Xenopus tropicalis: one gene and its partner. The protein of the gene in region 1 interacts with the protein of each later gene in a pairwise test. Links are inferred from orthologs where the notes say so. Each region holds a gene or a part of one and is shown in the gene's direction. Other genes may lie near its edges.

Evidence for each region.
Region 2: the proteins of creb5 (region 1) and fosl1 interact in binary tests that used the Homo sapiens proteins (3 or more experiments, as listed by UniProt). The two-hybrid records come from large-scale screens. The link is inferred for Xenopus tropicalis from reciprocal best matches to the Homo sapiens genes CREB5 and FOSL1.

The regions. Positions count from the first base shown.
Region 1 is NC_030682.2:43,120,052-43,135,710, forward strand, and holds the end of creb5 (cyclic AMP-responsive element-binding protein 5), read left to right. Parts: intron 1-1,449; coding exon 1,450-1,677; intron 1,678-5,495; coding exon 5,496-5,604; intron 5,605-8,070; coding exon of another isoform or gene 8,071-8,075; exon of another isoform or gene 8,076-8,106; intron 8,107-9,224; coding exon 9,225-9,388; 3' UTR 9,389-10,774; downstream 10,775-15,659. UniProt on the Homo sapiens protein: Binds to the cAMP response element and activates transcription.
Region 2 is NC_030680.2:37,709,765-37,726,624, forward strand, and holds fosl1 (fos-related antigen 1), read left to right. Parts: upstream 1-7,127; 5' UTR 7,128-7,351; coding exon 7,352-7,501; intron 7,502-11,513; coding exon 11,514-11,708; intron 11,709-12,292; coding exon 12,293-12,400; intron 12,401-12,816; coding exon 12,817-13,260; 3' UTR 13,261-13,714; downstream 13,715-16,860.

The DNA.
Region 1 (15,659 bases):
AAAGCTCCAGATTACAGAAAATCCACCTCCCATAGACTATATTAAGCAAATAATTCAAATTTAAAAAAAAAATGATTCCCTTTTCCTCTGTAATAATAAAACAGTACCATGTACTTGATCCCAACTAAAATGTAATGAATCCTAATTGGACGCAAAATAATTCTATTGGATTTATTTAATGTTTAAATGATTTTTAACAGACTTAGGGGGTCATTTATCAACCTTCGAGTTTGGTGTTTATGGTTTAAAAACTTAAATGTCTGGTATTTATTAAGTGTAAAAAACCCGTAAACCTGAATGTAAAACTTTGCAATCTAAAAGCTTGCAAGTCTCTATAGAACCAATGGGATTTGTCCTAGGCAAAGTCAAGCCATATTTTCAATTCAAGATATCTGAGTTTTCGAGTTTTGTTCGAGTTCTTTTATTCAAACGAATTTACCACATCAATAAATAAGTGAGCATTCGAAATGCGAGTTTATTTGATTTAGAAAGACAAACTCGAAAATTGATAAATACTGTTGAAGTTTCGAGTTACAGAAAGACTCATCTGGAAATCCCCTAGGCCCAAGTATTCTGGATAACAGGTTCCATACCTTTATGGGAAAAGGGAGACCTAACAAGCTGGAGGTGTCTGCATGTTTTTGCTGGCCCTATTATAGTTGGCAGATGGCTCTGTTGAAATGTTCCAATACTCTGAAGCTGGCTATAGGTTAGTTCCAGTACAGTTAAAAATAACATCCAATTTTATGTATTATTTTAAGTCTTCAGTTTCAGGTTTCAGCATTTTGCCTGCTGCCTTAGCAATTAAATAATGGGTAATCTATTTCAAAAAGAATGACTGTTTGCTTTTTATTATGTAAATGTAGAATTCACATGATAATAATGGCAGCACAGCTCAGCATAGCACATTTTCTGTTTACATGTTGGATGAATGGCATGGATATGATACACACACTCCTACTGCATTAGACATTACACTTTCTACAATACATAATGGCAAAACCAGTGGATGAGAGAATTGCAGTATCTGCCCCTTCTAAAAGACTTTTGTTTCTTGAAATATGTTGCACTGGATGTTGTTAATAATATACTATAACTTAATGCTGACACTTTTATATAGATTTTGCCAAGAGACTGTATTTTATATTCTGAAAATACAGGTTCAAAGTACAAAAAGCTCTCCATTTTGTTTGGACCACAATATTTCTTGACTTCCAAAGGAGCTGGCAGCTCATGTTAAAGACTTTCTTGATACATCCAAGATGTTGGTATGGTAGTTTATGTGTGTAGCTGTGACCTGAGACTTCTTTGGGTTTTACCTTGACAGTAGAAGGCTAATAGATTCTATATAATTAAGTTCCTATGAGGACATTGTGGCTCTGCTTGCCATCACCGAATTTCAAGTCCCAGTGGTTTAGAGAATCAATTACGCTTTTCTTCCCCCTACAGCTCTCACCAGCAGCACAGCAAATGCAGCCCACTCAGACAATACAGCCCCAACAGCCCACGGGAGGCCGTCGCAGGCGGGTTGTGGATGAGGATCCAGACGAAAGGAGGCGAAAGTTTCTGGAAAGGAACCGAGCAGCTGCCACCCGGTGCAGACAGAAAAGGAAGGTCTGGGTGATGTCACTGGAAAAGAAAGCAGAGGAACTGACCCAGACAAACATGCAGCTTCAGGTGTGTACTGTATGGCCTGAAGAGGCAAAAAGAGAAGCACTGTTTACTGCCAGGGCATTTTCTGAACAGCTTGATCATACACAACCCGCTTGCACAGCAAGACACATTAGATTAATAATGAAAACACAGACATAATCAACAGTTGGTAATGATTGAGGTCCTTCTTATAAAAACAACTCATGCTGAACAACCCCAGAACTAACTCTCTGAAAACCTCCAGGCCTAATAAAGATTTCTTTTAAAGAAATCTACACTTTTTTTTTTTTTTTAAACAAGGTACATTTGCGTTTTATTAAATGTTATTAAAACCTGTATTAAAATATTAAGTTACATTAAACCATTTTATTAACCTCATGGAAAGTTTTAATAGGGCAATTTTCTGAAAATATGTTCATTATTAAACAATAATAAATAACCTTTAGCTGTATTGTAATTGATTACAAATTATTTCTCACTGCCACAAAAAGCTCAATATCTGTTCTTTACATCACAAGCTGAAGTTACATTCATATATATCTATAGTTATTGGTTTGTGTGATTTTTTTTTTTTTTTACTAAAGTCTCTTTTAGAAAAAGGAAAAGTTTTTCTAAATTCTTAAAAAATAATATTAAAAAAAATATTGGATAAAAAAATGGTAATTTAAAATGATATGGCTCATATAGGAATAAAGGTAATTCTTAGTAATTTTAAAAAAAATTGTTTTCATTTAAATAGACATTATTCAAATGTGTGCAGAAATCTGTTGCTGTTATCCTAATACATTATAGAATTATTTAAAAAATGAATATAAAAATGATTGGCAGTCATTTTCTTACATTTAACATAACTAAATAATTATTATTGTTGTTGTTGTTGTTATTTCCAATATATATTATAGATATATTTAATAAAAGCTAAATATTATAGTGCAGTTTTTAGCTGTCCCTTTAAAAAATACAGTTAAAAAAGCAATGCCTGTCAAAGTATGTAGTACTGATTACATGAATTCTAATAATTATTATGTATATTAGTATCTTGTTCTCTAAATCTAACAGCACAGGGGAACATTTGCACGATGGTAAAATACTTTCTAAGAATGGTTTTATTTTTCTAGAAGCATTAAGTAAAATACATTAGTTACTGGGTACAGGAAGTGCTATTTCAAATGATATTTGTATTATCCATGTAGCAGGGCCTGATATATCCGCTAATAATAACATTATTATATGAAATCTTGCGCTAATAAATAGGTCCCTCCCATGTCAGTAACAATGCACAGTAACGTACAACATTTACATAAATGGCATAAATGCCTTCATTTTAAAAGACACACAGATCGATGGATTTTCACAATTGTTGTTAGTAAGAAGCCTTAACAAGATTTCACTTATTTATTGTATCCTCAAGAGGTTACTATCCAGTATCAGGAACCAGATTTAGAGAAAAAAACCTCATTAAAGGGTTTCCCCTGTCAGTATTTACAAAAAGGTTAAATAGGGAAATCAGAACCTGAATATTTCTTGTTAAGTGTGAAGAGCACAACCTGTAGCTACACAAGCCTCTATTGCAAAATGTGCTTTTCTTTTAATTGGGAAAAAAATGTTTGTTTTAGTGGACATCCTCTATAAGAATGGGATTTTAATGGACTTTTTTTCTCTTACACTGACCTGTTTTTCCACACATCACCTCATATGTGGAACTCAACTCAATACATTTTCCTAATCCCTCATATGCATTTGGCCACTGGGAGTTCAGTTTCAGTATGACACATATTAAGACAGTTACATATAGTCAGTGCATAAAAATAACTTTTAGAAAGCATCAATGGGAAGTGAAATAAATCCTGTCTTAGAAATAGAGCATATTTTCCCTTTAACAGAATAATGAAAACTTTAAGGGTGAATAGTCCAGAAATATAAGCATTTTTACAAGATGTTTCCATTAGGAAAAGACGCTAAGGGGCACATTTACTAACCCACGAACGGGCCGAATGCGTCCGATTGCGTTTTTTTCGTAATGATCGGTATTTTGCGATTTTTTCGGAAAATTATCGCGACTTTTTCGTTACCAATACGATTTTTGCGGAAAAACGCGAGTTTTTCGTAGCCATTCCGAAAGTTGCGATTTTTTCCTAGCGTTAAAACTTGCACAAAAAGTTGAGATTTTTTCGTAGTGTTAAAACTTGCGCGAAACGTCGCGCCTTTTAAGTTTTAACGCTACGAAAAAAGCGCAACTTTTCGCGCAAGTTTTAACGCTACGAAAAAATCGCAACTTTCGGAATGGCTACGAAAAACTTGCGTTTTTTCGCGCAAATCGTATTGGTAACGAAAAAGTCACGATAATTTCCGAAAAGTCGTAAAGGCGCCGAAAAAATCTTAAAAAATACGAAAAAGTCGCAAAACGTTCGTTTCCAATTCGAATTTTTTCCATTCGGACTCGGATTCGACCCATAGTAAATGTGCCCCTAAGAGGGGATTTTATTCAAATTTAGTTTGTTTTTTTCTCTATTTGAGAAGAAATGTGGCAAAAAGGGAATATTTTTATAAGTATTTTCTGAACCCTTGGATAGTCAGAATTTATAAAAGAAAAAAATGAAGCAAAAAGTTGTCAGAAAAATCCAGCAAGTAAAAGTTGGTAAGTTTCTAAAGAAGTCAAAGGGAATAGTCTCTTACAACTTTATCTGTTTCTATCTGTTTATATGGGCGGTTTATGAAGGGGCTGAGGAACACTCAAGCATTCGGGTACTAAACTCCTGCAAGAGTTCCCAAACTCCCAAACTATTGTGTTGTGTCTTCATTCCAATATCACGCTTTTCCTGACAAAAAATTAAAATCTCTGCACCTAAAACCTGCCAAGCTTCTTATGTTTTTGTTAAAAAAAAAAAACCAATCTGCACAAAGTGGTATTTGAGTTTGGGAACTCTTGCAGGGTTTTAGTACTTAGTACTAGTAATGTTCCTGTTACCTGCACTGCTGGTTCTGAATACATGTTGCATATAGTCTGCTCCCTTCCAGCCAACACTCTTTATGGGATTTAGATACTGTTACATTTAGAAAAAAGCTTTAAAATCACTAAAAATGTGTATTTACTATGCATTAATATCCAATGCCAATTACATTTACAATCAAATTTTAAAATAATTGGAAAAGTGTAGTTAATTAGACAGATGTTTTTAATGAAATTCAGTGTAACTATGTTATTATATGTTAAATATAATATTTAGCTTCTGTACCCCATTAGAGGTGACTATTATCTATGTGATATTGGCTTTCCCTGTCAGGGTCGGACTGGGCCGCCGGGACACCGGGAAAAATCCCGGTGGGCCCCGGCCCTAGTGGGCCCCAGCGGCCCAGTCCGACCTTTGCCGGCGCTCCCCCTACTGACTGTTCCTCCCCGACATGTTCAGTTTATACGCGCTCGGGGAGGACGTCAGGCGGGGGCCCTGCGGGGGGGTTAGGGGGGCCCCTGGGGGGGGGTTAGGGGACGGACACGGCTGGGGCACCTGCAGGGCCCCTGGGGCGGGAGCCTGGGTGGGCCCTGCACCCCCCAGTCCGACCCTGTTCCCTGTTACTGACTCTCCTTGTCAATTCTGCTGTAAAATATGAATGATGGGCCCTAAGCCAGTGGTTGGGATGCGCAGACTCCATTCTGCTGTGTAACATAGGTATTGCCCCCTCTAAGCACAACTCACCAAGAAAAGTGTAGTTAATTAGACAGATGTTTCAAGGTTTTCTGTATCTTTAAAGTCCATTTTGACTTTGATTTTGTGATTTTTATAATTTTATGATCTTTTGCTCTTGTTATATGCTTGTATTTAAAATGCCACATTTTTTTCCAGAATGAGGTTTCAATGTTGAAAAACGAGGTAGCACAACTGAAACAATTATTGTTAACGCATAAAGACTGTCCAATAACTGCCATGCAAAAAGAGTCACAAGGATACCTGAGTAAGTTCTGAATGCCATCTTTTCTTCTTTACACCTTCATCTTAACTGAGTGTCTTGCCGTTAAGGTCGCCAGTACCTAGTTACAGGAGGCTTCCTGGTAACGGCAAACATTTACATTTCCACAATACTCACCCCTTTAATATGCAACTAAAAGATGCAGCTTTCTTTCTTAAGAAACTCTACATGGTGTTTAGATGACCTCTGCCAACTGGCTGCAAAAATTCCATAAACAGCCATACAAATACTCCCAGCAGCCTTTAGGCCTCAATTTACCCTTTGCATACTGCAGGTTATATTGACAGGCCTAGTGTTACTTGTAGCACTTTCAGTTGCCCCAGTGGCACGAGTGCTTTGAGATTCCAAGCAACTGTATTCATTAGCAATGAGCAATAAATTTTCATAGCTGTAAAATTTGCGAAACACATTCAAGCCAATGGGCGGTTTCTCAGAGACGTTTTCTGAATCCATTGGAGTCTATGGGCATCTTTTAAAGGTGACTTTTTTCACAAAAAGTACTTTGGGGTCTACAGGCCTTTTGGGCAAAAATGATCAAATTTTGCCACAGATCCCTACCCAAAATTTTGGTCACTAGTTTTCAATTCTAGTCAATAGTATTGATCAGCCTTATCTCTTTAGCCCTTTAAATGTGGGCCATTGTGTTCTAACTTTTGATCTAACTGGACTTCATGTACTGGCAACATTTCTTGTGCCGAGATCAAAAGGCACCAGCGATGAATGAGTAAAAATCATCAACAACTGTGTCCAAATTTGTTGAATAAATATAATACAAGTATGGGACCTGTTATCTAGAATGCTCAGGATCAGGAGTTTCCCGGATAAGGGGTCCTTCTGTAATTTGGATCATTTAAACATTAAAGAAACCCAATAGGATTGTTTTGCCTGTTATAAGGGGTAATTATATCTTAGTTGGGATCAAGTACAAGGTACTGTTTTATTATTACAGAGAAAAAGGAAATCATTTTTAAAAATTAGAATAATTTGCTTATATGTCAATGGGAAATGGCCTTTCTGTAATTCGGAGCTTTGTAGATAACGAGTTTCTGAATAATGAATGCCATACCTGTATATATATTGTGTATAACTGTTATATTTAAGAGTGGATAAGTTCCCTCTGCCCATTTATTTAGTCTGAATGGGAGGAGTTAATCAGAATCCTCTATCTAGTTAATACCCTGGTTTGGTTTGATTTCCATGGGTTTGTATTAAAATGCCATTATTCATCTAAATTCAATACAGTGGGAAAATTTGAAAAATGTATTCTGCTTATCATTTTCATGTCTAAAATAAATCAAAAGTGTGTAACTCTAGACTTGAAGTCGTTGCAGAAGAGCTGCAGTTTACTGATTTGCCAAAGCTGTACTCGTTATTGCCATACGCTGCGCTAGTTATTGCCACTACCCTGTGGTAGTTTGCATATACGTGTGGTAAACTACTCTTTATATATGCAAAGGAAAACCATGCACTGGGCGGAATCTAAAAAGTCTCTTTTATCTCAGAGTGAAGCTAAATCTAACTTCAATGAGTGATTATTTTCAGTTCAACCAAATTATCAGTCAGGAATGGAGAAAGGATTAAACTCTTTGATGAATGTGGCAAAATGATAACCTGAGACTGCACATTTTTCTTTTCAAGTTTTCCCCTAATTCTTTAATCTGCTTTCCTGCTTCCCTTTGCAAAAATGTCCCAAAGCATGACATCAGAAACAGGTGTCCAACTGCTCACCAACAGACCGTGCGCCCCTACATTGCACACCATGAGTATCTAACACCCTCAATAACAAGCCAAGACTAGCTGGCTTTGTTTCTGAGCTACTAACCGTAGTGTGTGGCTAAATAAAGAGCCCTAACTATGTAGTTAGATTGTGCTTGTGGTTTTGTATCCATTGTGAGGTCATGTTGTCTTCTTATTCTTCTTCTATGGCATTTTCCATTGTCTTGGTTCTGTTATTCCAATTAATTGCTAAGCAATGGACACCCATAGCCTACACATATGTAAAACCATATGGCATATTACATTTTTGTGTAATGCTTTAAAACAATTTTCGCAAGAAAAAGCGAAATTTGGAACCCCCCCTGCTTGCAATTTACCTATTGCTGTCTAACTTATTTCTAGATCCTTGGACATAAAGATATTATTCAGCTATTTTGTTGCAGATTCCACCAACTATTTAACACATTGCTACTTGCAGCTTTGTTAATCATTTATCCTAGCAATTAGCTGACTTGCTTGGACTGAATTGATATATGTATTTATTTTATAATTGTATTGTTTGCGTGAGCATATATGAATACCTCATAGAAAATATCCTTTATTACCAATGAGCTGTCAGTATCAGCCTGGATTGTATGATGTCATTGCTGGCATTTTTGCAAACAACATTTCTTAAGGAAATATGCAGGAGAGCTGCTTAAAGCATTTTAAAAATGAATTTTCCATTTTATACAGGATGAGTACTGCTACTCAAAAGCTGCCCAGTGCATGGTAAGTTACCTTTCCCTAAAGATACACCACATTCACTTGAAATGACCTTTCTCTCTACATTATCAGATATAATTGAAAGATTACAGAGAGAGATTCAGAGGGAGATTTGTTTGGGAGAGCAAAAAAAAAAGTTAAAGCTACATAATATTTTTCTGAAAGTCAATTGGCGTTCCTTTGGGTCTTCCATCAGGAACCTTTCTCTGAATGATCACAGGATACAACATTATTTTGTCTTGGGGTGTGTTTTCAGTCAAGCTTTTAGCAGATTTGTAAACCTTTAAAAGAATAATGTTGACTGAGTCTAAAAGATATCTCCGTAGCCTCCAACTTTATATTTTCCATGCAATGGGATTTGTGTTTGTTAGGATAAATGTTTATTTCCATGTTCCTGATGAAAAGCCTATTTCTGTTTCATTGCATTCTGCTGAAAAACCTAATTGTTTAAAAATAGCACAACCCATAGGGAACCTTGACAGAACCCTTGTAGAACAGGGGTAGCAGGTGGGCCATCAAGGTGAGACACACCTTCCATAGCCATGTCCCTCCACCCAAATGTGGACCATGTTCCAATATATTATCAAAGATTAATATATGCTGGCAGCTGTAGCCAAAAACCCCCTTCATGGCAAGTTTTAAAGCAACGCTTCTAAAAGGAGACGTAAACCCTACCCCTTTCTCTGCTGCGCAACTTTGCAAATTTATGGCAGGTCAGGACACAGGGAAACCTGGGGGGGATAGGATTTAGTTCTCCCTTAATCAAATTGTAGATCCATCCTTTATTGAGATTCCTTGCTGCTTTGTGACCACAGTTTAATAGTACTATATCCACCCTTCTGATGTTTGATTACAGGCCAAGCAAGTCATATCATTGTACTCTTACTGCTAGAGAGCAGTGAACTACCTGATGTACCTGAATTTGTGTAATTAAATTTAGGGTTCCTTCTTTAGAGAGCCAGGAAGTGCCAATGGGAGAGCTTTGTGGAATGTTTATGTCCGCTTTAATGCTAGGACTTGATGTAATTGATGTAAGCATGTCAGGTTACAGTTGTTGTAATAATATTCAATGCAAATGTATTTAAACATGTATAATATATATATATTTCTTTTCTTTCATTCAGGCCCTGAAAACAGCCCACCAGAAAGTCCTGTCCCAGCCTGCTCACAGCAACAAGTCATTCAGCATAACACAATTACAACTTCCTCCTCTGTCAGCGATGTCGTTGGAAGTTCCAACCTCAACCCGCTTGCCAATCACAGAACAGACATAAATCCCATTCTCTGAAAGGTTGGGCTTTAGAACTGCCTTCGGGGGTTTGGTATAATATCAGATCTTCCACTTTTATGAACTTTTTACTCATCTTTATTTGAAACCTGGAAGTATCTTCAGTCCTTGAATGACCTTGGCCTTCCTTTTTTATACTTACTATTAAAAAATGTGTCTTTTTTACTTAAAAAAAAGGAATTTATGCAATTAATATGCTAGCAACTTTGGGAAATGTTTTCAGCTTTCTCGATTTTCTGGTACAATTTTAATTGTTTATGAACTAAAGCATTTATGTACATAGCTGTTTATTTTTGTTTTTCTTACCAGTCTACAAAGTGGCCTGAAACAAAGAGTCTGCTTATTTTGAATTGATACTTTATTACCATAGTAGCATCTTATAATACTCAAACATGTCTGGTTTGTAGTTTTGCATCTCTCCTTGCCTAGGCTCGGCATTATTCTTCCGTTAGGGATCTCTAGAGCTCAGTTTATTAGAGAAATCTTCCGTTCCCAAAGAAATGAACAAATTCTAGCTTTGATCTTTGTTTCTGCTCTTCTTTTCTCTTCACATCGAGGCTGCTGATTGAAAAGTCAATATGGATAAAAAAGTATTATGTAAGAAATATGCTTTTCAATTTGTCAGTGCCCTGTTAAGGTCCCCATGTTCACAAGTTCAGCTGAAGCAGATCTGAGCGTGCACTGTTTTCTATTTAGTTTAATCCAGCAAACCAAAACAATATGCAGGCTGTTTTTATATATATATTATATATATATTTTAAGAAAGCATTTACTTCTTAAATTGTTTTGATTCTTATTTTTTTGCCTTTCTACTTCTAATATAGAAATACAAATACCCTTTATAAAAATCATATATATTAGTACACCACTTGTAAAACAAAAAAAAAAAGTGAAAATGTCTCAAATACCCCAGGTGCTAATTTCCATGTACTTTTTTTTCTCTCTGTGGAAAGGACATAAAGTGAAATTGTACGAACATATGCACTAAAGGTATAATGATGCATGTTGCATTTGGTTATATTCAGAGTTCTTTTAAACTTTGCTTTTGTTGGATTGGTCAAAATGCATTTTAGGAGCCTCTGTTGCCTGATTTTTCTCAGTTTAGTAATGTGACAACTTGACATATTTATTTTCACGGCTCGAGTCTGTCTGTTTCTTATGCTAAACAGACAAGCTAACGATATAAGTTTGCTGTTCTTTAGCAATTACCAAATGGTGGAAGTGGTACCGCTGCCTGAGCTTGCCATCAACTGCAATCCAAAAGGAGCAAATCAAGTTTGTCATGAAACACTGCTAATATAAACATGCACATTTTTGTACAGGTATGGGATCCGTTATCCGGAAACCATTATCCAGAAAGTTCCAAACTCATAGATTCCATTATAATCAAATAGTCCAAAATTTTTAAACATATTTCCTTATTCTCTGTATTAATAAAACAGTACCTTGTACTTGATCCCAACTAAGATATAACTAATCCTTACTGGAGGCAAAACAATCCTATTGGGTTTATTTTAGCAGACAAAGTATGAAGATCCAAATTATGGAAGGACCCATATCCGGAAAACCCCAGGTCCCGAGCATTTTGGATAACGAGTCCTATACCTGTAGTCGTAACACAAATATGTTGGATTCAGAAGGGCCAAGCACCTTGAATGTAGTTCATGTTATTTGCACAGTATTTATGTACATAATCAGATTTCCTTTAATACTAGCCTCTGAATCTCATTTCTCATGAATGTGCTAAAATAACAGGCAATCTTTGCCCTTTAATGACTATTATTAAGCCATTTGTATCACTTGACCCTGTTATGACTAAGATATAATTATATATCTTGTATGGCCAGTATTTAATATTAAAGGTTAAAGACCATTGGCAAATTTCTGCATGAACTTTAACTCACATACTTATTAATATAAAATAATTACTATATAATGTAAGTATGCTGTTCATTTTCTTTTTGGATATATCCAAGGTTTTATTTTACCCCCCTGTCCAGTTTTTAGAGCAGCTCTCTGGTTTTTAGAGGTTTGGTGCTATTTCTGGTAATAGCATATTTACTCAGAGCTCAGATACATGTTCTACCTAAGCCATGGGACATATTTATAAAGCTGTGTGAAATATAAAAATAATTGGTGTACAATACATGCCATATTAATAAAGCTCCATTGTTTTTGTTACATGTGAATGAAAGCCAGGCAGTGGGATTATAGTTACAAACAGTTAATGGCAATGTTTATTTGCGTCAATTATCTTAGATCCGACTTATCAACATAATCAACATCATTATTTGATAACATATCATTACGTATTACAAATGTATTTTATCTGTCTTCAAAATATCTTTAGCTCGCAAAATTAATTTTCTGCTGGCAGAATGACCACAATATACATTCTGTGGGCACAAAATGTATTTTGTAGTCAGAAAATGTATTTTGTCAGCAAAAAAATTATTTATTTTTTTTTTAACCACAATATATCTTTTTTTCTGGCATAAAAGCATCAAACCCATTTTTCTAAAATCATTTCTGCAAGTACAAAATATCAAATAAAATCCTGTGAACACAAGGATAAATCTGTAGTCACAAAAATAATTGTGAACATGTATACTTTAAAATGTTTCTTTTATACCACAAAATTGTGTTTGTAGAGTTAATTTTGTACTGTAAATAGAAAATAATTTTGGAGGCAGGTAAACTGAATTATCCAGATGGATTTGCAGTTTATCCAAAGTGAGCACTATACCTGCGATCCAACTTGTTTAAGCTAAAATGAGTGCAGATTAAATCATTAACACTGCACACTGCATGCAGGTATCAACACTACCACAATACAGTTTTTGCAGTAACTGCTGGGTAAGAACTTGCATTGTGGCTACAAACTATGCACACAGTTTTGTAAATTAGCTCTAATATATTTTGTGATCTGACAATGTATTCCATGAATACAAGATAGTTTTTATGACTACAAAATAATTTTACCAGAACCGTATCCATTTTGTAAATTCCAAAATTAATTGTTGGTAAAAAAATAATCATTTTGCCATGCAAAAGCATTCTGTGCGTGTACCATTGTATTTGCAAATATAATTTTGTTACCGCAAATTTACCTTTGTGTTCAGAGAATTCGTCTGTGTTTCGTGACATTATTTTTGCGACTGCAGAATTCCGTTTTGTAGACAAAAGTAATTGCAAAAATGTTTTGTGTTCACAGAATTCTTTTTGTAGGGACAAATTAATTTTTTTCATTGTAAAATGTATTTCATCACTACAAAATGCAACATTGTAAACAATATATGCGCATGAATTTTAAGTTTATAATATGTTTTGTTTTTCAAAATATACAAAGGGCACCCTGTATTATTACAATGTAGTTTTTAAACACAGCTTTAGTAATATGTCCCCTGTATGTAACTGCTCAAAGAACACATGCATTTACTATGCATCCTACTAAGATTCAAGGTAGCGTTCCTAAAATCCTAAATACAAAGAATGTCAGAAAATGCAGGTTAAAACAGAAGAAAGTGCATTTGTTTTCCATTTATGTATTTAGCTATCCTTTTTTTTAAGTTTTTGGTTTTTTAATGCATCTGTACAGCAGACAATAGCAAAAAAAAAGACAGTAGAAAAAAATGGTTGACAAACTGCAAGGAAAGCAGCCCTTTAATGCTAAAAGCTTTCTAAAATGGCAGCTATGTTGGCAACTTTAAAAATAATTTCTTGGAATCATTATTATTACAATTACCATTTTTAAAACTTTTACAGGTATAGGACCTGTTATCCAGAAGGCTTTGGACCTGGGGTTTTCCAGATAAGGGGTCTTTTGTAATTTGGATCCCCATACCTTAAGTCTACTTTATAATCATTTAAACATTAAAAACCCAACAGAATTTTTTTGCCTCCAATAAGGATTAATTATATCTTATTTGGGATCAAGTACAAGGTACTGTTTTATTAGTTGTCAAGAATGACATTGTACAATGTAGCATTAATGTTTTCTTACAATGGAACCAAGGGCCCTAGCCCCAAGCATGGAAAATAGCCCCAGACCAATATTCTTCCTTCACCAGACTCTTTATGAGTTGAGTCGACTAGTGTTCTCCTGGCTTCTAGCAAACCTAGGCCATCAGAATGCCATTTATCATTTCAGAGGCTTAGTTTCCATTGCTTCAGAGTCCAATGGTGGCTAATAATACCCCGTTGCAGGTCATGCTTGGCTTTCCACGTGGCAATGTTAGGTGTGTTTACCACTGATCACCCATAAATCCCACACACCCTACAAATTGTTCTTTTACTGACGCTTCTTTCATAAAAGGTATGACTTCATTTTCCAGTTGTTTCCATTGACAGTTTGGAACTCAACAGTGAGCGTTCCAACTGGGAATGTTATTTTAGATAAAGACTTTTGGCCATACAGTTTAAATACCCTGTTGACCTAGTGTATATGTTCATTATTTCTAGGTATAGTAACCTACAGCATCCATTTTACCTTCTACTGGTCTAATAATGAAGGCAAGCATGACACAAATCAGGGTTTACCCAAAAGGGGTAGGGTTTTGTGAAAAATAGGCAGGGCTTCATGCAGAATGGTAGGGTCAGGTGGATCAGGGACATGCCTAATCTGTAATTCATTTTGATTTTCAAATCTTGGAATATATGTGCTTAGATGGTTATTGACACTGTTGTAACCAGTTTGGCTTACACTTATTCTCTTTTTATAAAATAACCATGAAGTTTGCTGTTCATTATTTAAGTTATTCGCTCCATGGAAATACACAGTGATGACCTTTTGCTGTACAACAATTCTAACAAAGTAAGTATTGACTTACATGTATAGAGCAACATAATCATGTACTATTCTGTGGCCATAACCAAATAAACCAAAGAATATTGCTCCTTGAAAGTGTTATCACTTGTGATTAATTAATAAGCCAGAGTATTCTAATAAGCATGAGAAGGATCCACGCATTCCAGTTTCTTGTCATTTTATGGGCCAGAACAGATAAAACCCAGTAGCTAATGGTCCTTGATGGTAGTTCTACTGCCACCCAAATTGCACAGTATATGCTGCTACCAGAATGTGCAAAGTGAATGCAGTTGCAGTCGTGATGCTTGTCTGTATCCTGTATCATATCTGGGGTATAGACCGTAGCAGTCCTTATTACATCAGTACTCCCAAAGGCAGTGTAAATGTATATGTTAGAATACACTGAAAAACTGAGTGCTGTGATTGGTGGAGTTGAGTATGCACACAGGGATTATGCAGTAAGAAATGCTGCAGTATAATACATACATACCTCTGTTCATTGTCACAAGTGGCCTTCAAATGCCTTTTGAACAGTTTTCCCTTAATACTAAGGGGCACATTTACAAAAGCACGAACGCTCCGAGCGTATTTTTGCCGATTTTTTCGGGCATCCGCATGACTTTTTCGTACGGCGCACGACTTTTTCGTACAGCGCACGACTTTTTCGTACAGCGCACGACTTTTTCGGACGTTTGTACAAAAAAATCGGAAAGGTTTTACCGCTGTTTACAATTGTTCGGTACGAAAATTTCGTGATTTTCGGATCGCCAATATGATATTATCGTGACTAATACGATTTTTTCGTAAGCATTTTCGTGATATTTGCGATCTTCCGAAATTTTCGTTTCCAATACGATTTTTTCCCATTCGTGATTCGGATTCGTGGATTAGTAAATGTGCCCCTAAGTATAGGATCTATAACTCAGAAAATGCACCCTCCGGAAAGGTCTGAAATACACATTCACAGTTCCCACAAATTTTAAACAGAAAAATCTTCCTGTGTAATGGAATTGCTTTTTCTCTGTAATAATTAGACAGTACTTTCAATACAGATGGCAAAATAACTGTTTTAGTAGCTTTAATGCATTTAAATTACCTAAGCATTCTGGATAATAGATCCCATACCTATAACACTGTAGCTGTAAATAGGTTTTCCCAGTGCCCTCAGTCTGCTGAAGCTCTTTCAGTTGGAAATCCCTGATTTACACCATATGCCTTAAGAATAAATGAAGAAAGGATGAAAGGTTCAATACACCATATTTTCTTTATGCTTTAAAGACCTTGTGTAAAACTGTCTGTTTTTAAGTTCGGCGACACACTTCCCCGGTTTCCATCTGGGTTGGCACTGAAGGCGGCATGACAAATTTATTGTTGGTGTATTAATGCAAATAGATTTATAGTAGTCAGTGACCAGTTATCCAAAACCCACCTGATGTCTTTCATTTTGTGTTAAATTCACAACAA
Region 2 (16,860 bases), on another chromosome or scaffold:
AGCGCTGTGATTGCCAAGCCTCTTCACATAATTTTTCAGGATTCGTTGAGGTTTGGCATGGTGCCGAGAGACTGGCGGATTGCTAATGTGGTGCCGTTATTTAAAAAGGGATCTCGTTCTCAGCCTGAAAACTATAGGCCTGTTAGTCTGACATCAGTAGTAGGAAAGCTTCTGGAAGGGGTAATAAGGGATAGGATAGTTGAATACATTGCAGTTCACAATACTATTAGTTTGTGCCAGCATGGTTTTATGCGTAACAGATCTTGCCAGACTAATTTAGTTGCCTTTTATGAGGAGGTGAGCAGGAACCTTGATGCTGGAATGGCAGTTGATGTCGTCTACTTAGATTTTGCTAAAGCGTTTGATACAGTACCTCACAGAAGGTTAATGATCAAATTGAGGAATATTGGCCTAGAACATAATATTTGTAATTGGATAGAAAACTGGCTGAAGGATAGAGTACAAAGAGTGGTGGTAAATGGAACATTTTCTAATTGGGCCAGTGTGGTTAGTGGAGTACCGCAGGGGTCAGTCCTTGGTCCTTTGCTTTTTAACTTGTTTATTAATGACCTGGAGGTGGGCATAGAGAGTACTGTTTCTATTTTTGCTGATGACACTAAATTGTGCAAAACTATAAGTTCCATGCAGGATGCTGCCGCTTTGCAGAGCGATTTGACAAAATTGGAAAACTGGGCAGCAAACTGGAAAATGAGGTTCAATGTTGACAAGTGCAAAGTTATGCACTTTGGTAGGAATAATATAAACGCAAACTATCTACTGAATGGTAGTGTGTTGGGGGCATCCTTAATGGAGAAGGATCTAGGGGTTTTTGTAGATCATAAGTTGTCTAATTCCAGGCAGTGTCATTCTGTGGCTACTACAGCAAATAATGTGCTGTCTTGTATAAAAAAGGGCATTGACTCAAGGGATGAGGACATATTTTTGCCGCTTTATAGGTCCCTGGTAAGGCCTCACCTTGAGTATGCGGTGCAGTTTTGGGCTCCAGTCCTTAAGAAGGATATTAATGAGCTGGAGAGAGTGCAGAGACGTGCAACTAAACTGGTAAAGGGGATGGAAGATTTAAGCTATGAGGTTAGACTGTCGAGGTTGGGGTTGTTTTCTCTGGAAAAGAGGCGCTTGCGAGGGGACATGATTACTCTGTACAAGTACATTAGAGGGGATTATAGGCAGTTGGGGGATGTTCTTTTTTCCCATAAAAACAATCAGCGCACCAGAGGTCACCCCTATAGATTAGAGGAACAGAGCTTCCATTTGAAGCAGCGTAGGTGGTTTTTCACGGTGAGAGCAGTGAGGCTGTGGAATGCCCTTCCTAGTGATGTGGTAATGGCAGACTCTGTTAATGCCTTTAAGAGGGGCCTGGATGAGTTTTTGAACAAGCAGAATATCCAAGGCTATTGTGATACTAATATCTACAGTTAGTATTACTGGTTGTATATATATAGTTTATGTATGTGAGTGTATAGATTGGTTAGTATAGGTTGTGTGCTGGGTTTACTCGGATGGGTTGAACTTGATGGACAATGGTCTTTTTTCAACCCTATGTAACTATGTAACTATGTAACTATGTAACTATTACTGCTGAATATTTTTTCATCAGGATTGGCACACATGCATAAAAGCATATGAATTTAAAAAAAACATGACAGTGAAGATGCTTAGAAACTTCTGAGTTTATTGGTTAGCATTGGAGCAGCTACAAAGTAAGGCTGATGGCAGACGAGGCGTAGGGCGGATATTTTTGGAAAGCGGAAAAGCGCTTGCTGAAAATACCGCCCTACGCCTCCTACGAATGAATGGAATATGCTCAGCTGCAGGCACATGTAGCCGAAATACGCATAAAGACACAAGAGAATGCAAAGTCTCGCGTTTTTATGCGTATGCGGTATTTTCAGCAGGCACTTTTCCACTTGCCGAAAATATCTGCCCAATGCCTTGTCTGCCATCAGCCTAAATGTATTTTAATTTTTGATCTAAAAACAAAAGAGATTCAGTTCCAAACAATATAATCACAAAACATTCTGATTCTGCAGTAGCCAATAACGTAACTATTAGCGCCGGGGCCCGGGTGCAGGTTGAGCACCTTGTACTTGATGAATTATATGCTAACATAAAGTCATAATGATATTTCAATTTTAAGGCATGGTGCTCTTAATAATGAAAAAACACTATCTGGAAATCCCCAGCCAGGTCCAAGAATTCCAGAATATAAATCTGGAATTAAAAGAATGTCTGTTTCGTTTCCCATTCATTAACTGCTCAGAAGAGGAACTAACTGAATTCTCTTTTTGTACACCACTGTGAGGATGAATGATTCATTTAATACTTTGTTTTTATTTAAGTTGAGTATTCTGTTATGAATTATCAGCATCCCATAAGAAATGGTGGCCTTTCCAGCTCTGGGGATTACAAATATACACATTTAAGATAATGAGTACTGAAAATATCCCTATACTCCCACGTATGTCACCAATGTTTCAAAAGGGCCATTGGTGAAAAGGGTTCAGTGCTGGTGTGGGATTAGCCTGCCCTGTAAAGAGTGGAACTAATGGGCAGGGTACCTCACTCCTTACACTTGAAAATATAAAACTTGTAAAAACTTTCGTTTTGTGGAAGTGACTCACAAATGACACAAAGGAAGCAAATGATTCAACACTCAGCAATGCAGGGAGCCAGAAAGGAATGTTACATTTTCATCTAACATGTAGAGCGTGTCAGCCGTCCGTGTAGCAGCAGGTGGATATGCGCGTTACTTGCAACTGCTGGATTTGGCGGGAATGAGGAGAGAGTCCTATTTTCGTAGGAAACAGCAGGAAGCTTCTTAGGATGCAGAGAATTTTGAATGTACAATACATGAAAAAATGCAGTAGTTATCAGGATGCATATATACAAATATAAAATCTTTTCTAGCACACAAATGTTTAACTTACTGTCCTCCAGCTGCTTTTAAACTACAAATCCCAGCACCCTGTACATTCCAACATTGTCATGGAAGAATAGGAACTAGAGGGCTGCAGGTTGGAAATTCTTCATTTAGTGCAAGGGTCCACAAACATTTTTTTTTACCTGTGAACCACTATCAAATGTAAAAGGAATTGGGGAGCAACACAAGCATGAAAAATTTTCCTGGCAGTGCCAAAAAGGACTGTGATTGGCTATTTAGTAGCCCCTAGGTAACCTACCAGCCCACATAACCCTCCATTTGGTATTACACCTGGTTTTTATGCAATTAAATCTTGCTCCCAAGCCAGGAATTCAGAAATAAGCACCGAGTTTGAGGCCACTGGTAGTTGGTGAGCAACATTTTGTTCATGAGCCACTGGTTGTGGATCAATGATGTAGTGCATATGGCCTATAGAACATCATGTGGCTAAATCTGCAGCTGCTTAATCCATTGTGTTGTCTACAGAAAAAAATGGCAGCTGGATTTAGTTTATTCTATTAAAAAATAAATGTAATCAAATATAATTGACCATGTATTTCTGATACCAATAATACTCACCCCACAAGCTCCAAGTAATCCTCCAAAACACCACTGCATACCTGTACAGTTTATACACACACTTGCAGGTATAGTCTATGCCATTGATTCCAATTATGATCCATACTATAACCATCAGTCACCAGGAGGTCTCTAAAAAGAGAAAGTGACATATAGAGTTGAGTTGTACATACAGCCTGGCCTGGCCTAATGGGACTTTGCCAAACCTCTTTTTCCATCTACAGTTGCCTTGTATTTACTCATCTACATTGGCAGAAGATTAAAAAACACAAGAGGATAGAGCAGATTCCTCATTTGTGACTGATGTGAGACCCTCATCACCATGGAATGTGCTCCTGCTCCAGGAGGGAAAAGGGGAATTTTACTCTGCCTCGTGCAACCAGTGCTGGAATGAATAACTGACCACTATACGAGGTAATGGGGTTAAGATGAAACCACAGAATAACGAGCGTTGAACTATTAATCTTAGTTTCTAACACTTCTCATTGTACAGTCTCCCATTCATTTCAGCTGCTGCTAGAGTCTTCCTTTAACCTCTTTGTGACATTCTAGACCAAACATTTATTCAGTCTTGAGAAACGATTCTATATAATACCACCTAAACATAATTATGTTACTTTCTGTTGGTAGTTTCACCAACTGCTCATACTCCCTGCCTTAAAGCATACTGGGCTGAAATCCAGCAGTAATATCCGGTTGCCATTCAAGTCAAAGGTAGGCAGCACAGGTGGTGCCGGTCCTTTCTCCACTGAGGGGGAAATATGCCTCCAGAATAAGCCCTACATGTGCCATTAGCCTTGCATTCTGTGTAGAATAAATTGGTTACTGTAGAGATAAAGATAAAGTGATACAGATAAAACAGGGATCAAATGGCATTCATAAATAGAACATTTAAAAAGGGGCTTAGGAAATGTGTCAAACTGGGCTCAAATCTACCCTGCTATATTCAAAGTTGTCAGCCTGACAGCTATGGTAGCCAGGGGTAATGCAGCATAGCGTCAAAAATTTTCCCCGATACACGGAAATAACGTCACGAATGTCACACGCACTTCCACAAGTGATGTCACATGCATGCACACACAAAATCGCAGCTGAAGCAAAAAAATTGCACCTGCACGTGCGCAGATGCATCAATTTACAGCATGAATGCTTACTGCACATGTGCGCCCGAAATTCACTGCAGGACTTTGTGAGACTTCGGAAAAATTGAGAGGATGAGGGAGAACGGGTAACTCCCAAAGAAATAGGGGGGATGTGGACAGCTCTGCAGATTATTATAGAAGCCACCATGAATGATGGTATGTTTCTGGGAAAGGGCCACTATAATGAGTCATCAGAAACGACGCAAGATATAAACACTCTGCTGCAACTGCTTGTAATTGTGCACACTATACTTCATTATTTAGTTAGATACTCTGGCAGAGCTTACATGACTGGCAAACCGGGGGAATTTGGCAAAATGCTGCCGCAAATTTTCAAACACCGTAAGTGATGTTACCGCACAAGCGTACACTCCTTTGGAGCACACTGCTCCCTACATTTTTTCTGCACATGCCCACACTGAATTGTTTGCCAAAAAAACTAGAAAACAGGGGGAAAGCTAGAAAAATGCGGGAAAGAGGCAGTGACGGGACATGGAGCCAAAAATCTGGAAACTCCTGGGAAAACAGGGGGTCTCCACATGTTGCTCTGGTACCTTTAATCCAAACACTTTTTGCCACAGATTTGAATATAATGTACACGAGACAATAAATTACATCATTTTAAACGGTGCTTATTGATGTCACCAGTTTAACCATTGCTTAGTGATTTGTGTCATGACTTACTAAAACTTGTGTACTATAATAAATGATTTAGCCAGTTATTTAATATCAAGATACTACAAGTCACCTAAGAGTACCCTGTATAAAATAAATATATATGGATACTCACAATATCCTTCCATTTAACCATTATTGCCTATATAGCAGCTCCTACCTGACACCAGTTGCTCAATACTTTGAATCACTCTAGGTGACTGTCCCACTCCTCCCTGCCCCTGTGTGTTTGCCTTTCACACTAACTTCCGCTGCTGCTACCTGAGCGCGTCCGCTTTAATTAACCACATAAATAATTGATATCAGTGTCTTGTGACTCCATATCACCGTTTTATATAACAATTCTATCTGCCTGGTGGCCTTTCGGTCATTTCCCGGCAGTAACATTATCTAATATGACATAATACACGAAGAGCAGTGCTAGTAAACGTTCGGCCCAGCCTTCCCGCCCTCCCTCTCTCTTTCCTATTGGCCCACGGCTGTTTCTGTCACTTTAAGGGGGAAAGCAGGGAGGGGTGACAGGGGGAGAGCAGGGAGAGGTGACAGGGGGAGAGCAGGGAGAGGTGACAGGGGGCTGAGTCACAAGTTACGGGAAAGACAAGCACGTGAGGGTGAGACAGCCGGCACCCGGGGGTCCTGAGAGAGGGGAAAGGCGAAAATGGCTGGGGGAGGGGAGACGAAAGAGACGAGACATGATTCTGTCTGAGAACGTGAAAGAAACAGAAAGCGTGTAGAATTAACTCTTTCCCTGCCACAGTTTTTATGTTACACTGTTGCATTGCCGAGAACAGGCAAATAACGTGAATATGATGGTATATTTAGCCACTCACCTGCCCAGCCCAATCACGTCACGTCAAGCAATTGCACCTAAATTGTCTGTATCATTAGGAAACGGGTGACTCATATATAACTCAAATATATAATTATCAATATAACAGAACACCGAGGGTAATGTACAAAGCCCGCACCTACAGTATAACAGAAGTCCCCTCACTTTATACAGATCATTAGGAATTGCAATCATTTCTAGTTAATCGAATAAAAGTCCCAGTTTCTACATGTGAAGGAACAGTTCTTTTCTGGATACAGTGTGGGACTGAGATGCCACTAAACTATTATTCCTCATTTAATCTCTTTACTATACTAGTTATTATATTATAGTTTATTATACTTCTTTGTTCCTATTTTTTCTCATACAGGAATAGGGAATGACCATAAAGCAGCCCACTGGGAGTTATCCTAGTATCCTGATGGACCAGTCCAACTCCAGCAAAAAGAAGCGAGAGGGCCCACTGACACCTGGGCCCACCTGGAGATTTCCTGGTATCCTGTCTGTATAACTCGCAGTATAAATTAGTGGGTATTTATATATATATATATATCGGCATTTATAAGAAGCGAGCGGTACACACCTGTCTGTTTCTTAAAAGTCCCTCAGTTCTTGATAAGAGAGTTTCCCATAAATTCTACCCAAACGTGTCGATTTCAACGTAAAACGTAAACACTAACCCTCGGTATACAAACAGGCATCATTTCCCAGAAGTATTTGCTTTTCTTGGTGCCTCTGTAGCTACAGCGTTTTACCTATAATTTCCTTTCCACTCTGGAAATAGCAGAACGAAATAACAGCCATTTCTAGCAAAGGGGTTTCCTCACGCTGGAGGAAGTATACCATATATGGGCATGTACGTCACAGGCCTTTAGGTAACTCCGAGGCTGTACCAACTGTGGATTACTAATGGGGGGAGTTATACTTTATAAACATTTACACTCAGACGCGCCAAGAAACGTCTAATATCCACTTATTATACTGTTAGAGTTAAAACATCTTTTATCCGAAAAACAGTGTACTTGACGTACTCGAAGGATCCAGCAACGCAGTTTCGCACAACTTTTGACAATTACCCCCCCACTATTTTATATAGTTCAGTCTGCCAATCTTCATTCATAAACTTTGACTGGGGGCAGTCTGAGTCAGAGTGAGTTAAACCGAGGAGTAGTGAGGATCCAGAACATGTACAGAGACTTCACTGGAGCCTTCCCTCAGCCAGATTCGGGGTGCAGCAGCCACGGCCTACGGAACTCGGGATCTTCCCCAATTTTAGGAACTTCAGGAATGGGACACAGCGTCAGACTGAACCCACCTCCCGAGGACGCGCAGCAGGTGAGTCGGCATTTCTTCAGGTTTATTGCTGAATCCATACACAGTTATCTGTAACAAGACGTATTATATAACATCTACACAATAATGATTTTGGGAAAATATATGTATATATATAATTTTAAAAAAGTTGCTCAGACCTCTACACTTTTTCATGGTCTTTGACAAATCCCGAAACATTGCTTAGGAATGTACAGCAAATACACTTTTATTTTGCTCTATTTAAGCTCTAATGAGTGTGCTTTTCTATATATGCTGCTTCAATTGGAGTATGTCACTTCATCTCTCTCTCTCTTACTCTCATTCTCTCTATATATATCACCCATATATGTGTTTGTTACATATATATAAGTACATATGTCATATTTTCTGTTGTGTCTATGACTCTGATTTCCCCCAAACCTAGTAAAGTGAATTAAGTTATTTGTGGATATTTATCTGGGCAATATATGCCCCCTTTGTAAAGTATTGGTGGTATGCTTAGGCATTGGCACTATGAGGCTGTTACTGGGTACAGGAGAAGTTGAAATCACTAGATAACTTATTATATAATGTGCTTTTATTTTGTCATTATGGCTGGCTTCTTAAACCTTGGTCTCCCCATTATCCAGTATCTTTCCAATGCTGTGACAATTAGCTTGTTTTATTTTTGTTTTGTTGTAAAATCCTGTTTTACAAAGCTATCCTTTTAAATGCACCTTAATCTGCTGGTAGAAAAAAAATCATCTTTTGACTCTGAATGGCTGCCAATATTTGAAAATAATTTCCAGGGACTCTTGGCTACCTGATTGGTGCGTCCCATAAGACTTTGTTTCAAAGGACGCACAATGCGCCACGCCTACCATACATGCCATGCCAAAGGTGAATCATCATTTAGTGGTATTGTATTGTAAGCACCCCCTTTTTATGAACTATAGTATATTGACTGAGAGAAGACAGGAAATTTATTTCTGTCATAGAATTAAAGCAATTTGTTTAATCGGATTTTAAATACCCAAAGCATGGTTAATTAAAAAACTTGTATCTATGGTATGCATGTACTAAATATGTTGCTACAAGCTGCTGCGCTATCAGAAGTGAAAGTGGAAAAATACCTGCTATTGCTAATGTAGTTTGGGGGACAGGTGTGATCATGCAGTTTTATGTGCTGGGGATTACCCTGTTTTATATTGCATTAGTCCAGCACAAAGTTCACTGGAAGTCTTCTAATGCTAAAAGGGATTTTAACAGAAATTAAAATTAAATTTAAATAAAAAAAATAAGCATAGAAATCACTTCAACTATTTTAATAAGGCAGATAGTTTGTTTTAGAAAAAAAAATTCCTTTGTGTTAATCACTGACTAGGGGAAGTGTTAGGTCTCATTTCCTATGAATCAATTAAAAATATTGTTTTTAAGTATTTACCACCTTACATAAATGCTTTAAATTGTCTTTTCTACCCTGAGAAAAAATAAAGTAGCAGCAGATCCACAAATATCATGTAATGCACAAAACTGTAGGTCGTTGCTTGCAGAGAACTCTTTGCAATTGTGCATTGGCACCCATGAGTAGGAGCACTGAGCCAAGGCTTGTCCATAGACATCAGAAGAATAATACCAACTAGGGTTGCCACCTTTTGCCAACAATAATATCGGCTGGGATGGGGGCAGGATTGCGAGGTGGCGTGTCTGTGATGTGGGGGATGGGGTTATGACGCAAATGGGGCAGAGTCGATGCATCACCAGCCAGATTGCAGAAGACCTTCATGAGTAGGGCAGGCTTCTGAGGCATAGAGAGGGCCCCGGGGCGAGGGGATTGTGGGCGGATCGGAGGTGTGGCTGGGGTGGAGAACTAGTTATGACAAATTTACCTGCTAGTACATTTCTGCTAAATTTGTAATACCAGCCGCGACCTTGGCTGGTATTTCTGAAAAAACAGACAAGTGGCAACCCTAATACCAACCAGTGCACACAAATCACTGCAGTCTTTTACTGATACATTTAGATAATGGCAAAGCCCAAGAAAGTAAAATGTCAACTCCTACTCAAATGCAAATATGAGCATGAATGCTCTGTGTAAACAATACCTCAGTGTCATGCTGGTGTAAAGATAAGTGGGAGGCTTGATAAATTCTTAGAGAGGAGCATGTATAGTTGTCTGTTGTCTACCTTTTTAGATTATACAGGGATGATCTATATTTTGATACCCAAATAAATTCCTCAAAGTCAACATAATCAGAGTTTGTATCTTAACCAAGGGATCTCAAATGGTCATGTTTTCTTTCTCTGTTAGCTATATCTCCCAGCATCCTCAGTAGAGGTCTGCAGTTTTGACATACCTGTTGGGGAGATAGAAAATAGGATGATACAGTTCCTCTTGAGATTTCTGAAGAGAAAGTAGTGAAAATGCTGCCAATACCTGCTCACAGAGCCAGCAATAGACTCTTCCTCGTTTGTATTTTGTTTTTCCCATCTATAAGTCTCTTGCACATAGTTTTACTGCATGTGTCATGCATGTCTTGTTCTGACGCTTTAGGACAAGTCACCTGTATAAATTCATATGGCCCCAAAACAGCTCTTTTCATGCAGACTTTACCGCCCAATGCAGCCAATTCATGCTGCCATAAAAGGATTAGATTTGGCTAACCAGGACAAGTCCTGATACAGACAGAAAATGTGAAGCTATTTTAGCCTACGCCTTTGTTTCATCAGTAATAACTCCATTCGTTTCTGTTACTGTCAGAGGCAACATTGAGGTAGGTGCTCATACATTTTAAGATGTACCTAAGAATTTTAGCTGCAGGTAACATATGTTTGTGACTGAGTCAATTCTGCTGATGACATGCTTGGTACAGAATGTCCTAAACAGTCTACACCCTCCTTTGAAAATGTACTTTATCAAGCATCATCGCTGTATAAAATGTAAATGGCATCTGTGAGCAGTTCTTTAACATGGCAAGCAGGTCTTGTTACTCAGCATTAATGGTGGCTAAATTATACTCATTACACATTAATTATTAGGCTAAAGAGGATGGTATTAAATTCAATGGTTGTTTCTGAAATCCTGACATGCAGGAAGTATAGACGTTTGGTGCAGTACATAGTTACATAGTTACATAGGGTTGAAAAAAGACCATTGTCCATCAAGTTCAACCCATCCGAGTAAACCCAGCACACAACCTATACTAACCAATCTATACACTCACATACATAAACTATATATACAACCAGTAATACTAACTGTAGATATTAGTATCACAATAGCCTTGGATATTCTGCTTGTTCAAAAACTCATCCAGGCCCCTCTTAAAGGCATTAACAGAGTCTGCCATTACCACATCACTTTTTAGATTATACAGGGATGATCTATATTTTGATACCCAGTACAGGCAAGAATCCAGCTCTCATTGCCATAGTAAGCCACTTTAGTATAGAGTTTAGAAAAAAAAACTCAAGATGTCTGAGGTTTGGATTGTAGTTTATAAAAATAAATATATTTTTTTTATTGGTTTTCCACTGACAGCCTAGCGGCAGTTTTTGTTGTTTTTTTTACATTTTGGCACTCAGGTTCTAGTGTCCGGTTTTGAACAATGTACAATTATTATTGGTTGCAGTGATCTAGCTGAAACCAGAATATAGTTTATCCTTCAAAAATACCACTCTGTTCTGTGGGGAAAACTACAATTTAATCTGGAGATTGTTTTGTCACTCACTTTCCTTTCCTAAAGACTGGAATTTTAAGCTTCAGTTTATATAAAACTTGAGAGAGAGAATTGCTGCAGCACTTTATTCTGACAAGTATCTGCATACTATAAATTCATTTTCAGTCTAATATCAACTGTTTTTAAACTGCACCCCTGTTAATTCTGATAACTCATCCAGTAAATCAATGGAATTATATATATCTGTGTCTACTAGTTAATCATAACCATGTGAACACTCATAATAACGCACACATTTTTTTTTTTTCAAATAAGTATCAACCAAATATGCATATAAATCAAATTTACCTTTAACTTCCTAAATTCCTTTACAGAAGTATCCAGTTCACACATCCTCGGGTCAATTTATCCCAACATTGAATGCTATCACATCAAGTCAGGACCTTAACTGGATGATCCAACCAAGTGTACGCCCCCTGAATTTACCACCATACCAAAGCCCTCGGCATGGGGTAATCCGTAACATGGGAGGAGTCTTGAGTATGGGGCGAAGGAGAAATGGAGAACATGTAAGTATGCACATTATCGACTTATTAATAATACTTTGATTTACTTTACTGTTGTCCCTTTTAAATAAGCTGAGCATACATGTCATTTAAAATTATTATGAATTGAAATAATAAAATTGATAGAAAACATAATACTTTTTACCCAACCAAAATATAAGCCTTAAAAGTTAACTGTTTTCTTTCCGAGGCTAAAACAATAGTATTTTGCCAATTATATTATGAGGCTGAGAGAACATGATCACTACTTAAATCCTAATTACACATGCAGCGGAAACAGTTATTAGGCGACTCACCAACAGTAGAATGAGTCAGGTTGGGAAAGAGAGCCTAGTGGTGCGTGCCAAACCATGGTTTGAAGAGCGGGATAAACATTAATGCCTGACTCATAGGGTCACAGTCACTGCCAATCCCTTCATTCATGAGCATGGCAGGCAGGCAGTATTCATTCATGCCACCCCCTTAGACACATAATAAAGGTATTTTGTGGGAAGTGGCAGTGCCAAACCAGCTCCCTTACACACATATAACAACACTTCCATAAATTGGGTAACAGATTTATTATCTCTTTTTTTTTTTTCTCACAGCTGTCACCAGAGGAAGAGGAGCGAAGACGAGTGAGACGTGAGCGGAACAAGGTAGCAGCAGCAAAATGCCGTAATCGTCGCAAGGAGCTAACAGATTACCTGCAGGCAGTAAGTTAAATAGGGTAGTTGAATTACTGCAGTGATCCCCAACCAGTGGCTCGTGAGCAACATGTTGCTCACCAACCCCTTTGATGTTGCTCCCAGTGGCCTCAAAGTTGGTGCCCATTTTTAAATTTCTGACTTGAAGGCATGTTTTGGAGGCATAAATACCATGTGTACTGATAAACAGTGCCTCTAGTATTCTTCCAGTCCACATTGGGCTACGAAATTATCAATCTGAGTCCTTATTGGTCACCTACTAGGAAAGTTTTTGTGCTTGTGTTGCTCCCCAACCTTTTTTCATTGAAATGCTGCTCATGGATAAAAAAAAAGAGGGGATCCCTGAATTACTGGTCTAATTGGGGGTTAAAGTGACAGAAGTGGGCATAATATACAATACTTGATATCATTTTTACTTTAAATAGGAGACAGACAAACTTGAAGAAGAGAAGTCATCCCTCCAGAAAGAAATTGCTGAGCTGCAGAAGCAGAAGGATAAGCTGGAACTCATCCTTGAGGCTCACCAGCCTATATGCAAGTTTCCTGACTCCCATCACAACATGCAGCAAGTGGACTCCTCCAGGCTGGTTAAGAAGGAACCACATGAAGAGTCACCCAGGGGACCTAAAGTCAACCTTCCCAGGATAGAGCTGAGCGACACAATCCTAGAGCCAGAGGCCCTTCACACCCCAACACTCATGAAGACACCATCCATTACTCCTTTTACGCCAAATTTGGTATTCACTTATCCTGGTCCACAAGAATCATGTTCTACAGCGCACCGAAGGCTGAGCAGAAGCAGCAGCAGTGGTAGTAGTGGAGAGCAAAGTCCATGTTCTCTAAGTTCTAACAGCCTACTGACTCTTTAGAAAAAAGAAAAAATATATTTTTTACTGTGTGTGCTTCTGGGTCTGGATTCACCTGTTAGAAATCTACGCCAACCCAAAAGTTTTATAGACACTCTATATAGAATTTTATTCACTTTCTTAATAAGGCATGCTATCACTTACCTCATACTTCCTCTCTTAAGAAACCACATTACTTCCCAATTAATGATTCTAGTCAGATGCGTGACCTGTCATTATACGGTTACAAGTAAAGTGTGTGTATATGACTGCCTGACCTTAAATACGGTCCAGGGTAAAGTCAGCGGCTGAGCCGGTGTTAAATTTAGTGGCATTTTTTAGTAGGTTCCTATATAAAAGCAGCAGTAGAGCAGGTTCTCTCTGTATTTATTAAAAAGATATTTTTATATGATTTATGCTTGACATAGAAAACGTGCATTTTGATAATAGCACATTAATAAAAACCTGTAAGAAAATATCTCCTTTGTTTTTTCTGTAACAAACTTCATCAAGAGATTCCTCTGTGTGATTGCCTTAATCCAAAAATATGCATTGCCATCACAATGTCATATTTTATTGAAATTTATTTTCCAGTTCTTTATTGGGAGAGAGAAATGTTTTGAGTAGAAGCTATTTTAGCCTACGCCCTTATTTATCCATAACAGAAACTTAGTTTTGTCTCCCCATCCACTGTTTGAGTCTGTGAGGAGTTAAACCAAGCATTTCTGGTCAAGGCCAAAGTCACACAGAGCATCTGCTTCACTCCGCCTGCACTTTGTAGGCAGGTGGAGATTCAGCAGCTCCATGTAACTGCATTGACAGGCACAGCTTCCACCTTAGTGCACTTACACAGAGCCCAAAAATGGCTGCTTTCATGTCTTTCGGGTGGATCTCCGCTCTGTGTAGCTGTACTCAGGCCAAAAGCAGTGCAGCTACACAGAGCTGTGGAAGAGAGTGGATTCGCTTCTCTCTGTCTGCCTACAAAATGCAGGCAGAGAGAAGTGGAGCCAATGCTCTGTCGGACTACAGTATAAGGGAAATTGATAGTAAGTAACCCCTAAAATGAAAATTAATGTTTCCCTTAAAGAGTGTATATTTTTATCAAATATACTAAATCTAAATAGTGCCATCAAACCATAGGCCCTTGGGCTTCATAGACTTCATTGTATTGCGTTTTATCTTTTTTTTTTAATGCACTTTTTGCAGTTTTGTTTTAGCAGATATTTCATTGGCTCCATTAGAGTCATGCAACCACCCTGATAAATACAGCATTGTCTGTGTGTAGTAGAGCTGCATTTAATATGGATAGGCACTCCTTTTATCCCCAACATTTCCCCTAAATTTTGCATCATTTAGATGTGAGTGGTGACATACACAGGCCTCAATGAGGCCCTGTTCTTAGTGCCTGCCAAAGCCTAAATCAGCACGAAAAGGGTGCAGATTTGCAGGCCCTTATTTTTGGGTAGGCCAAAAATTGGGGGTATGGGGGGGACCATGTTGCTCACTTGGGACCTTTGCCACTGGGGACCAGGGAGGAGATTTCTACAGCTGTTTGAATCTTCCTTTCAGCCAGTCCCAGTGGAAACCATCAATAGATATTCAGTCAGAGAGGTTGTGAATGGCGGGGAAGGGCTATGGGTGGAGATTGGATGCGAGTGACAAGCTTAGGGGGAGTGATTGATGGGTGCTGAATGAATCTTAAAATCTGACCCTGCAGATTTATGACTCTTGGTGCTTGAATGTTTGTCACCCTATCCCAGTTTATCCCGGTGTTTAGTTTATTATTTATTACTCATAGTTACTTTTTCTGACTCATCTTAATCTGCAGAGCTTGGTGGGGTTTCCCCTGCCAAGTATTCTTGGCAGATACATATTTGAATTACTAGATGGATTATTTTTGTGCAAAGTCATTCTTATCATACATCAATTCAAAAAGAACATTGGCAAAGGTTAAAAAAAAATGTTTTTTTATTATTTACATTTTGGTTGTTAGCAGCCAGGCAGAATGGACGACGGCTAGCATTCTCTCCGTTGTGTATATAGCAGTGACACGTACACATCTCATCAGTTCCTGCCTGAGTAGAAATTACCAGGGATGCCATCAGTGGGATACACGGGTTCTGCAGCAATGGCAGATGGGGGCTTGGATTATGGGAGAGAGGATGGCCCATGGGTGGAGTTTTAGCACAACTGGGGAATCAATGGTGTAACTACAATACAGTAGACCCCATGGCTACAGGTTCCCGGGGGCAAGGGGGCCCAGACCACTGGGGTCTGCTGTATTGTAGCCCCCTCAGCATTGCAGTAAAACTCACCACAGACTGCAAAATGTGTCAGGGACTCCATAAAAATTTCTTTGTGGTGGGGAACTAGTTGGGTGTAGTTACATCTGTGGTGAGTTTTACTGCAATGCTGAGCGGGCTACAATACAGCAGACCCCAGTGGTCTGGGCCCCCTTGCCCCCAGTAACCTGTAGCCATGAGGTCTGCATGTGCTTTTATTTTTTTATTGGGACCCCCACTTTATTTGTTGGCAAAGTCCACCACCAAGGGGGCCCAGGTGACCAATTTTTGAGGGGTTGACAAAGTAGTAGTTCTGTGATTAATTTGGGCCCCTAAAAAAAGTAAAGAATCTATAAACTAATTGGCTTCTCTGTCACACATAGACCACTTTACAAATCATTAAATTTAAATCATTTTCACAAAAGTTTTTTGAGGTATACTGTACATGGTATATTATTACACTGCCTTATATGAAAGCTGTTTTTTCTTCTGCGGTACAAAACCCTGTCATGCTGTTTCACATTTGTACACTACAAACTGCTGACTCACATCAAGTCCAATTAGTAGGCAGGAAATCAATGACTCAACGCATGAGCGCGTTGTTTGCAACATAAAAAAATATTGTGGGAAAGATACATAATAAAGGGTTTATTGAACAGCATTTTACCTTATATCCCAAATATTTGGCAGCAATCTTTGATTGATTTTTTTAACCCTGGTATAACACAGTGCTTTTATGGAAAAAAGCCTTGTCCATGCTTTATAAAAATGTATTCAAGGAAAGCACGCATTGACTTGGATAGCTTACTAGTGAGATCGTCAGTTGCCCAGATAGGCACCTGGTGAGTTCCCAGTCAAAAAAAAAAAAACAAAGGAGATACAGCCAAGTATAGAGTACATAAGGGTAAGCTTCATTGCAGAGGTGGGTTAACTTGCACCCTGGGGGGTGTTCGCCTCCTACCCAATCTTACCTGCTCCATGCTATAACCCATGAAATCAAGAAAGAGGCTTCTTAAATATTAGCAATTGGTTTATGACAACTAAAAATTTAGCAAGCATTCTAAATAATCCTATGGACTAGAATAGAACTAGATCATAGGCACGGAAATCCTGATTACTATACCAGGAAGCACATTATTATGTTTTTGGGTACCAGGGGTTTTTACAATTCCCCAGTTCTGTTTCTCAACAGTTCTGTCTTCTCTCCTCTTTCTTTTTGTCACCATTTATCTTTCCCACCAGAGGGCTCTATGTGTTCCCTTCTATTAAAATAGGTATGGGATTTTTACACAGAATGCATGGGACCTGGAGTTGTCTAGAAAAGGGATATTTCCATAATTTG